Linked DNA regions of Schizosaccharomyces pombe. The protein of the gene in region 1 purifies or fractionates together with the protein of each later gene. This does not show direct contact. Each region holds a gene or a part of one and is shown on either strand. Other genes may lie near its edges.

Region 1 (5,512 bases):
GGTGATCTTTACTGACATTTAAGAAGTCTGACTTCCATTGAAGTATCTGTTCGTGTTGCAAATTCTATACAGTACTGTTAGACAAAGCAATAACGATGAATATAAAAACCATTAAGTAAAACTAACCTGTTGCTCAGAGGATAAACGTTTCAATGATTGAAGCTCCTCTTTCAATTGAATTGTAAGATCGTATAACGGTTGAAAACCTGAGTTAACAAAATCGATGTTGGATTGCACTGATTGCTGTAATGAATCCTCGGTTGTAGTAATTAAATTTTTTATCCTTTTTTCCATAAAAGCAGAGAACTCACTGGTATATTTGCCGATAGCGGAAAGAGCAATTGCATTTTCTGAGGTAAACTTTTCATTCAATTTTTCAATTAAACTATTGGAATAACCAGCACTTTCTTCAATAAAATTAGCGAAAAAGGAGTTTATATCAAATATTTCCGATTTTAGTTGTTTGATTGTACTTAGTATTTCTTTTTGTTGTACCATTCCTTCCTGTTGATGGTTTTGCAATTCGACTAAGCCCATAATTTCTTGGTTGACACGAAAGTTGATATCTTTGAAAGAATTTTCGATAACTGAATTAAATTTTCCATCAAACTTATCAATACGTTGATTCATTTTATCTGTCACGCTCTCAAAGTTTCGCAAATGCAAAATTACCATTTCCAAAAATTGCTTTTGCACAAGAGTTACATTCATATTCACCTCGATTGATAATTCTTGTTATATTGTTAGTTTGTTAGAGTTTATTTAAAGTTTACCTTTTTGCATTTCCAGATTTGCTAACCGGCATAAGTGATTTACATCATGAAAGTGACTAGTGAATGAAAGCCACCAGGTAGAAGTTGACTCCAACTTCGATACACATTCACTTTGCGAGCCACGAACGCATTCTGAAGGAGCCAAAATTTGAGACCGTTCAAAATCGCAAAGAGTCATTTGAATGGCTGAGTGAATTCGATTATCGATAGTCAACTCAGTATTCAATAAGCTACATTTGGAAATTAAAGTTGCAGCAACTTCCTGATAGCAAGTGGATTTTTTCAAGAGTGCTTGATATACGTGAGCTAAAGAATCAAAACCGGCTAACCCCTCGGAAAAGGCCACATTCGAATATTTCATAAATGATTCTACATCTCCGGTAGACTCACTAGTAAAGAAAAAAGAAATAATAATAAAAAACTCGAAATATAACCCAAAGGACGCGTCGGATGAAATTTCATAATTGTAGTAGATGGTAAACAAAGAAACTCACCCGTCGACAAACTACTTGCTTAAAAGAGTACGCGAAAAAAAATAATTTTTTTCCAAATAAATTAATAAATGAGAAATTCTCTAAGCACCTATTTAATAAAAAATTCATTAATTACTTGAACAAGCCAAGGAATCCAGTTCTTCACGCGTCAGTACGGCATATCGTGTGTCATTAAGTATGCTTTCTGTGAATTCGTCGGGGTTTTTAGGATCTACAGTTTTTGACTTGCATAGCTTTTTAAAATTTAACAGTTTGTCCTGCATAGGCTGTTTTCGTAGAATCTGAAACTCACGGAAAAGTTTCTCAAAATCACGTTCCGAATATCCTGGAATTTGAAGAGTCGACGACTTTCTATATTTACGTTTAAATTGAGGCCATAGCAAGGTAGATGGAAGTGAATGAAGCAAAGTCCAAAAATCCGATAAGGTATTTTTTCTACGCGTAATTTTTTTGGTAGAAACCACCGACTTGCAATATTCCTCAAACACCTCTTTTCGTCTCTCTCCCGAATCTAATACGTAAAAACGATCATCGTCTAATAACTTTGGATAAACTAGTTCCCACGGTTGGTATGCCCCGATGTTTTTGTCCTTCAAAAGTTCAGTAAATACTCTTCTAGCATCATCAGTAGATAAATTTGTAGCTTGTTCCTGTATATCATAGGAAACTGTTTCATCATCCAATTGTTGAAGTTGATACATAATATCTTCCTCACCAAACTCCAACTCTTCAGCGGAGTGTGATTTTTCCTCATCCTCTTCTTCATCAGATTTTTCATAAAATTCTTCAGAATATAAAACGGATTCCTCCGATGATTCTTCTAAACCAGAGGGCTCTTCAATCTCTGTTTGTAAATGCCTAGATTCATGTATTTCTTCGTGGTTGGTTTTACCACTATCAACGTTCTGACTCTGTGAGGAATCTTTACTGATTTGCTTCCGTATCGGAAGACGTAATATCTTCAAGTCTTTACTAATTTCCAAAGGAGGTTCCCAATATGATTCATGGCTTTTTAAATTGTGAAAGAAATACCGATTTTTCTTAGTAAAAACAACCACCCATGAATCATTATTAGGAATTCTTTTTCTAAAAAAAAAGTTAATAACAAAATTTTACGCCTCACATACTTGAATTTTGGTCTGTCCGGTAATTGTTTCCTCAAATCTCGAGAATTTTTGCGCTCTTCAGCATTTTCATTAACAAACAGCTTTTCGCTTGTGTTAAACGCCAAAGAAGCTTGCGAAGCAGTAACAGAAGATGAATGGTTTTTCTCAATGAAACTTGGGCGCTGGTAAGTGCTTTTTTTTAACTCGGCATTCCAGTAATAAGGAATCCCACTGGGTGCTATGAGTTAGCAAATAAACTGCTCATTAAATTTACCTTTATGTTCAGTCCATCCAGGAGGCAAAGGCTGTGACATTAAGATATGTACAATCAAGAAGTTAAGTTCGACACTATGTTAGGTAGTATTCAGTGGGCGTGTGTGTGAGAATAGATAGAACAGTTTTGCAAAATCCAGCTGAATAGTTATGTCAATTACAAAAAAATTTCTACAAACTATTAAAAAAAATCTGTATAAATTGCATAAATTCATAGGTGTAGTTAACATTATTGAATATACTACAAAAACCTCATAACAGCACCGCACGTAGCGTCTTCCCAAGTATTTCCTTTAGAACAAATAAGAAGTTAATGAAATGGTCTACCAAGTACAATATAATAAAACATTTTCGAGAACTTCAATTTTAATATTGTCAATTTACAACAACCCGCATAAATTTACGAGCAATTCATAACTCGTGGTAAATCGTTAAACGGCAGGCTGGAAGTATTTGTAAGCAGCTACATTTTTACACTAGTATTGACTCCTCTGGTTCAAATATTTTTACAAGCAGATTTTAATTATTAGCAACCTACACTGATAACTTTATATCTTGAGGATATGAAAGTACTAAAGGTAAATTGATTATCGTAAAAATAGCTCTCATTTATAAAGACATTTGTTGTACAGCATAGCTTGTAAAAATAAGCGGATTAACAACATACTAATTTAAATCATAATAGATTAATTGTATTAGAAGACAGGTAAAAGTCAGTCCTGTTATAGTAGTGTAGTAAGCACATAAAGAATAAAGCAAGTGTGGTAATCGCACTTCGGTAGACCTCATTAATGTTCGTGATCTAGTGCTTCGCGCATTTTCGAACTTGTCATCAACCAAATTCATTATGTCAAGAAGCTACGATTCTCGCACGACTATTTTTTCACCTGAAGGTCGTTTATACCAGGTTGAATATGCATTGGAAGCGATCAACCATGCTGGCGTTGCTTTAGGGATTGTAGCTAAAGATGGAATTGTTTTAGCTGCTGAAAAGAAGGTTACCAGCAAACTATTAGAACAAGAAGAATCCGCAGAAAAGTTATATCATATAGGAGACAATATGTTATGTGCTGTGGCAGGGCTTACCGCAGATGCAAACATCCTAATTAACTACGCTAGAAGGGTTGGGCAACAATACTTGCAGACTTTTAATGAAGAGATGCCTTGTGAGCAATTAGTTCGTCGCGTTTGTGACCTCAAACAAGGTTATACACAGTATGGTGGGCTACGTCCATTCGGTGTTTCATTCTTATATGCTGGATGGGATCATATTCGTGGATATCAGCTATTCCAATCTAATCCATCTGGAAATTACGGAAGCTGGCAAGCAAATAGTATCGGAGGAAATAGTACTAGTGTTCAAAGCTTAATGCGACAGGAGTATAAGGATGATATAAACTTAGATGAGGCTTCTGCTATGGCCGTGAAATTTTTGAGTAAAACGTTGGACAGTAACTCCCTAACTCATGAAAAAATTGAATTTGCAACAATAACAAAGGATACCACGAAAAACAAAATGGTTTGCAAAATATGGAAGTCAGATGAAATAAATGAAGTGCTCAATAAGTACCAAGAGACCCAGCGGCAATCTTAATATTGCCTTACTCAATTCATTGGGAAAACACTTTAAGTGTATAGCTGTTTTTTATAGCTTTCGTCGTTACCCTTTAATCTCCTTGTAATTAGCTCATGGTTTTTGTAAACAATTTGAAGCAAACTAAGTTCCATCATGAGCCTTATTCCGTCTCAATATAGGCTTGCTTTCTTTTTATCTACGCTAAATCATTATCTTATGAATTCTTATGCCGTTTTAAAAAAGGCTTTTTTCAAGTTTCTTTTATACTTAGACCTTTCTTTCTCATTCCCTTCATAACGTCAATTTCTACTTGAGTACACCATTCCGGCATATTTAAAATTATAGTATTTCCAATGGAATGTCAATGACTCTCATATGTTCTAAACTATATGCTTAGTTTTCATAACTGAAGATTTTAAACGGTGTAGCATATTCCAATTCTATACTATTTATAAAAATAAGAGAAAACTTTTTGATGAGTATTATTAACTTTCACTTACATATTGAAGGATAAAAAAAATAACTATTGATATCTAAAAAAGGAATAGTAAAACAAATAATCTAATAATCGATGTAGTATAGACTAGTTGGCTATATAAATATGTTGGTTTGACAACCTTCCTTAGCGTTTAGCTTGGATTCATACTCTTCAAGAGTCCACTTTGCGGTATCTAGTTCACATTGTTTTCTAATTAAACTGGCTTGAACTGATTGCTTTATAAGCTTAAGATCATGGTTGAAGCGATCATACAACAGAGGGATAGACTTTTTAGAATCTTCATTTAATCGAGTCATTTGAGCCAACCTTGCAAGAGTCAGATGATATTTGCGTCGTAAATCCTCGTATGCCTCTCGTTCTATTTGACCAGGTAAAATTTCCTTAGGGTGTCTTTCCGGCATTTCTTTCATGGCAATTGCTTGGAATTTCGATTCATCTAACTGTTTATCATTATTGGAATTCGCAGGGGAAACCGGAGTCGGCAATTCCTCTACTGTTCCAAAAATGCGATCACTGTGGTATGCAAGGTAATAAACAAGTTCTACAGCATTACTTCCAAACATGGAAGGAGCCAAGGCAATTGCTAGTTGTTTCGTAACAAAATCACATTGATCTTTAAGAGGAAGTCTCAAAAGCAAACTACGACGTTAGATAATAAAACCTCTGAAAAACAAGCTTGGTGACTTACTCGGAAGCAATAGAAAAAATGTTCTCAAGGATCTTTAGGCTACTCTCGGGTAAGTCTTGTAAGATTTTTTTCAAATGATAAACTGCATCAGTTGAATTGAAAG
Region 2 (4,259 bases), on another chromosome or scaffold:
GAAGGAACACCGCCTACCAAAGCAGCCTGGGGGGTTTTTGCAATTTCCTTATTCAAAACTTCAAAAAATTGAGCTTCAAGGAACTTACGGGAACAGTCAGAAATCCTTTGATAGAACCGAGAGTTAACCGAGCCATCCTCAGTCTCAATGTCAAAGGCTTTTGAGATTATGCCTTTATTGCCAAACACTGTCACAGAATCCTTATCCAATATAACAGAGGAAAGTAACTTCCAGGATTCGTAAAGGAGAAGAGACTTTGTATCATGAGCAAATTCTCTTGCAACCTCACAAAAAGAACTGACAAGCTTTGATTGAAATCCGTGCAGTGCTTCCTCCTCAAGACACATTTTTAAAGTGGAAGCAAACTTCTGCGAACGTTGCACCGAGAAAGGATAAAAGGATACTCTCTTTTTATTTTCAAGTAAAATATTATCAAAGGAGGGTCTGCTTTTTGCAGCTTTGGAACGCCATTCCTCTTCCAAATATTGATCGAACGCTATTTGGGTGTTTTGTACCAATGCTTCCAAAGAATTTAAAACATTTTTTTCTCGATGATACTTCAAAAACATATCTACATCGGTAAAGGACAACTCGAGAGTAGTGGGAGGTCTTACTTGTAGAGAGAGCGACTCAATTTTCTTCCATGTTTGTTCGGCATTAATACCGCTTCCAGCAAGCAAATAATGGCTATATCGTTCATTAGACAAATATATCTAATAGGATACAAATAACTTACGCTTTTGTATTACCATCCTTACTAGTAGGAACGGTGTTCAAGTAATGTTTTGCGCGTTGTTCAATCTCACCCAAATTGAACTGGATAAACGGAAGACATGGTTCCAACAACTCATTAGCAAGTTTACGAGACTTTTGATCTAAAAAAGGTATGCCTCTAGCTTCCTTTGGTGAATCGTCAGACGCAACCGTCATGGCGATGGTCAAGATGTAAACAAGCACAATGCGTTTGAGAGAATCTGTCTCGGTGAACTAAGGAAATTGAAGTCACCGAGTTCACCGAACCTTAATTGTTAAAAACAATATTTCATACTAAACAGGTCAACAGTAAAACGTTAAAGAGTATTTGAATCATCCTTGTACTCGGTTGGAATTACAAATTCTTATGCAAAAAGCTTTGCTTTACGTATACAGCAAGTGTGAAGTCAAGTCTGTCTATGTGGATGTGAAAGGGCTTAAAAAGTATAAAATTAAAAATTTTAAAATACTATTTTCAAACATCGATTGTTCTCGTTTAGCTCTTACTATCATTTAAAAGCCAATACATATGAATTCACAGAATCAGCAGTGAATTATTTGGGCCCTTAGGGACAGCAATAGGGAAATGATATTTAATATTGGTAAAAAGTGTTCAGAATTTAGAGAAATAACTGAATGGATGATATTTCAAACCCTCTTACTACTAACAGCCGTGGTCGCTCATACTCATACGTTTAATGACCCATAATTGAATATAGGATTAAGAAATCGTCAGAAATTTAAAAATAAATATATATAAACTAGCAAAAAATATTTTAGTATAGATAAGGCTACCATTGTCTCGTGGTGTGCGATTTCCCAATAAAGCTATTTGCTATAAGCGTTTTGCTTTTGTAGGTAAATATCAAAGCCATTAGTTAATTAAAGGAAATGGGACAGAATCTGGAAAATCAAGTATTGTGCCTCGGTTGACACTCGTAAACTAGAAGAGATTATGTTCAACTCGCATTACAATATCATATACATGAAACCAAATAGTCTCCTCCATTTTCAGCAGAAGAAATAATGAAATCGTTAAATATTTACATGCTGATTTCGTTAGAGATTTATTCAAAAACTGATTACTTACTCCTCAATTGCCCACATATGTGCCTCGTGTTCTTGTGCCTTTCTCTCATTTTGGCGCTGAAACCATTTATTTTCAAATCCATTACCACGAATAATTCCATCCCAACGATGGCCAGGTCGTATATTAAACCTATTGGGAGGCGCATATCCTTGATAAGTAGCTTTTGATGATACAGGTTTATTAGTGAGAAACGAAGCAGCTGGGTCATTCCAACGAGACCTTTCTTTCAATTCCTTATTGTATTCAGGATCGTCCTCATAACGCGCCAATGGCACCGTTTTTTGCCTTTCAAGTTCTTTTAGGTATTCTTTCTGTTGACGCACTTGAACCACACCTTGTTGTTGTTCCTTCTGTCTTCTAGCTTCTTCCTCTTTCTCTTTTAATTTTCTTTTGGCTTCTTTTCTTGCAAGAACCAGATCTATCCTTCTCCCTGTGGCATCTCTGTAAACAGTTTCGCGACTTTTGCGAAGCTCTTCCTCATCAAGATTGGATGATTTCTCTTCTCTCTTTCTTCTTTCTTCAGCTTTAAAGGTCACCTGCTTTCCAGTTAACAGACCGAACTGAGGAATTGATTCAGCATCATGAGAATCCTGTTGTTCAGATTCGACAACTTCATCATTCCCCACAGCTTTCCACAACTGAGCAGGTTTATTAGTAGTTTTTTCTATATTCTGATAAATAGCATCAATATCTCGATCTTTAAGGCTTTCATTTGCGACAATTGTAGGGGCATCATGCAAAGATGTGAGTTCTCTGTTGACTAGTGAAAATGAATTGTCATCGTCCCATCCAGCGACATCTTCATCCTGAATTTCTACAAAATCCTTCTCTTTCTTCTTTTTCTTTTTCCCTTGATCTTTTCGTAAATACTTTTTAGCAATATAGTCGGCGTTTGACATATGTGCTGAATGCATATTTTCTTACCTGAGCGCTTCTTAACTCGCTACCTTCCAACACCGGCGGAAGATCAGTATTGACATATTTTATCGGAGAACATGGATTCACAAGAGACAAAAGTTTTTGAAAATGTAAAGCAGGAAAATCCTGATGAGAAGAAACCCAAAGTTGAGGAGCCTGACTCCCAAAATAATGCTTCGACACAATCGCAGCAAAAATTTTTGGATTTCCAGCTTTCATGGTGTCCAGAGAGTGAAAGAAAAACAACTAAATACCATTTATTAAAATTTCACTCTAACAAAGCCATTGATCCTTCCAAATCCTTTGTGCCACCCATAAAAATGCAACGCAGAGACCCCAATGCTCCATCTTCGTCAAACGGAGAACAAAATGCAGAACAAGGAAGCTCCAGTAACGTGAACATCGCTTCAATCGCTCCTTACGGTGGCGCTCAAAACATGAAGCAGAATGCCTTTAAAAGGAAAACTCGCCAGGTCGTCAAAGTTGATCCACAGGCCCGCAGACTACAAGAGGAGGAGTTATCTCCTTGGATTATGGAAGATTTTGAAGGAAAAAACACATGGGTTAGTACGATGGAAGGCGGCCAATCGTCTGCATATGTATTGTTCATGTTCTCTGTAAGTTTTTATCCCATTTGAAGATGTTGGATGTTTATCATTCATCTTTTGATCATTTAAGATTTTTTATGCTTACTCTATAGGAAAATGGTTTTAAGGTGATTCCAACTGATAGATTTTATCGATTTAATCAACGTAACAATTTCCAAACGCTTTCAATTGATGAAGCGGAGGCAAAGGTCAGTCCTTATTTCCATCAGGTCTTGTCTAACCCATTTAGATGAATAAAAAAACTCCGATTCCTCGCTGGTTTATGAAAAAGGAGAGTGAAGAAAACTTAGCAGAGGCAGGCTCTGCTTCACCCATGTATAAACTTAAGACGGTTCCAAATGCACGTCCTGTAACGGGACCGAGAGCTAGTGGAAGTGATGATGAACTAGATTATGACGAGGAATTCGCTGACGATGAAGAAGCACCTATTATGGAAGGAAATGAAGAAGATAATAAGAAGTTGAAAGACAAGATTAAAAAGGAAATGCTAACTGCCAATTTGTTTGGTGAAGCTGATCAAGATGTCGACCTTGAAGAGGAGAATGATAGACAAATGTCGCGTGAAGGAAAAAAGCTGCAAAGATACTTAAAATTGCTTGAAAAGAATTTAGCTTATGAGAGTGATGAGGAAGATGAGGACCCTTATGCTTCCTCCCATGATGCGTCTAGTGAAGAAGAAGTTTTGCAAGAAGAAGAAGAATTGCAAAAGCGTGAAGAAAAACTAAAGTCTAGATTTTCTGCGAACGCTTCCAAAACTAATACACCAAGACCACTAGAACGAACGCCAAGCAGCGTATCTCCTGTCAAAGCTTCATCGCAACTACAATCACCTAATACTTCTATTCAAATAAGGCCTCAAGAACAACTTATTAACAAACCTGGATATATAA

What was found. Proteins that work in one complex are often made in the same cells at the same time.
Region 2: the proteins of dre4 (region 1) and cwf26 purify together in Schizosaccharomyces pombe (affinity purification with mass spectrometry, with the first as the bait; one large-scale study listed by BioGRID). This does not show direct contact.

What each region holds. Positions count from the first base shown.
Region 1 is NC_003424.3:423,205-428,716, reverse strand, and holds dre4 (splicing-associated factor Dre4), read right to left. Parts: upstream 2,740-5,512; 5' UTR 2,688-2,739; coding exon 2,648-2,687; exon of another isoform or gene 2,612-2,647; coding exon 2,395-2,611; exon of another isoform or gene 2,354-2,394; coding exon 1,375-2,353; 3' UTR 1,302-1,374; downstream 1-1,301. Other genes in the region: nuclear membrane protein Tht1, read right to left, coding at 1-64, 127-731, 774-1,134; pre9 (proteasome core particle subunit alpha 3), read left to right, coding at 3,494-4,240; RhoGEF Gef2, read right to left, coding at 4,814-5,360, 5,410-5,512. UniProt on the Schizosaccharomyces pombe protein: Component of the spliceosome involved in mRNA processing.
Region 2 is NC_003421.2:2,161,703-2,165,961, reverse strand, and holds cwf26 (protein Cwf26), read right to left. Parts: upstream 2,750-4,259; 5' UTR 2,743-2,749; coding exon 1,844-2,742; intron 1,804-1,843; coding exon 1,797-1,803; 3' UTR 1,457-1,796; downstream 1-1,456. Other genes in the region: nuclear pore complex component nup97, read right to left, coding at 1-687, 737-930; transcription factor TFIIF complex alpha subunit Tfg1, read left to right, coding at 2,839-3,378, 3,462-3,557, 3,599-4,259. UniProt on the Schizosaccharomyces pombe protein: Involved in mRNA splicing.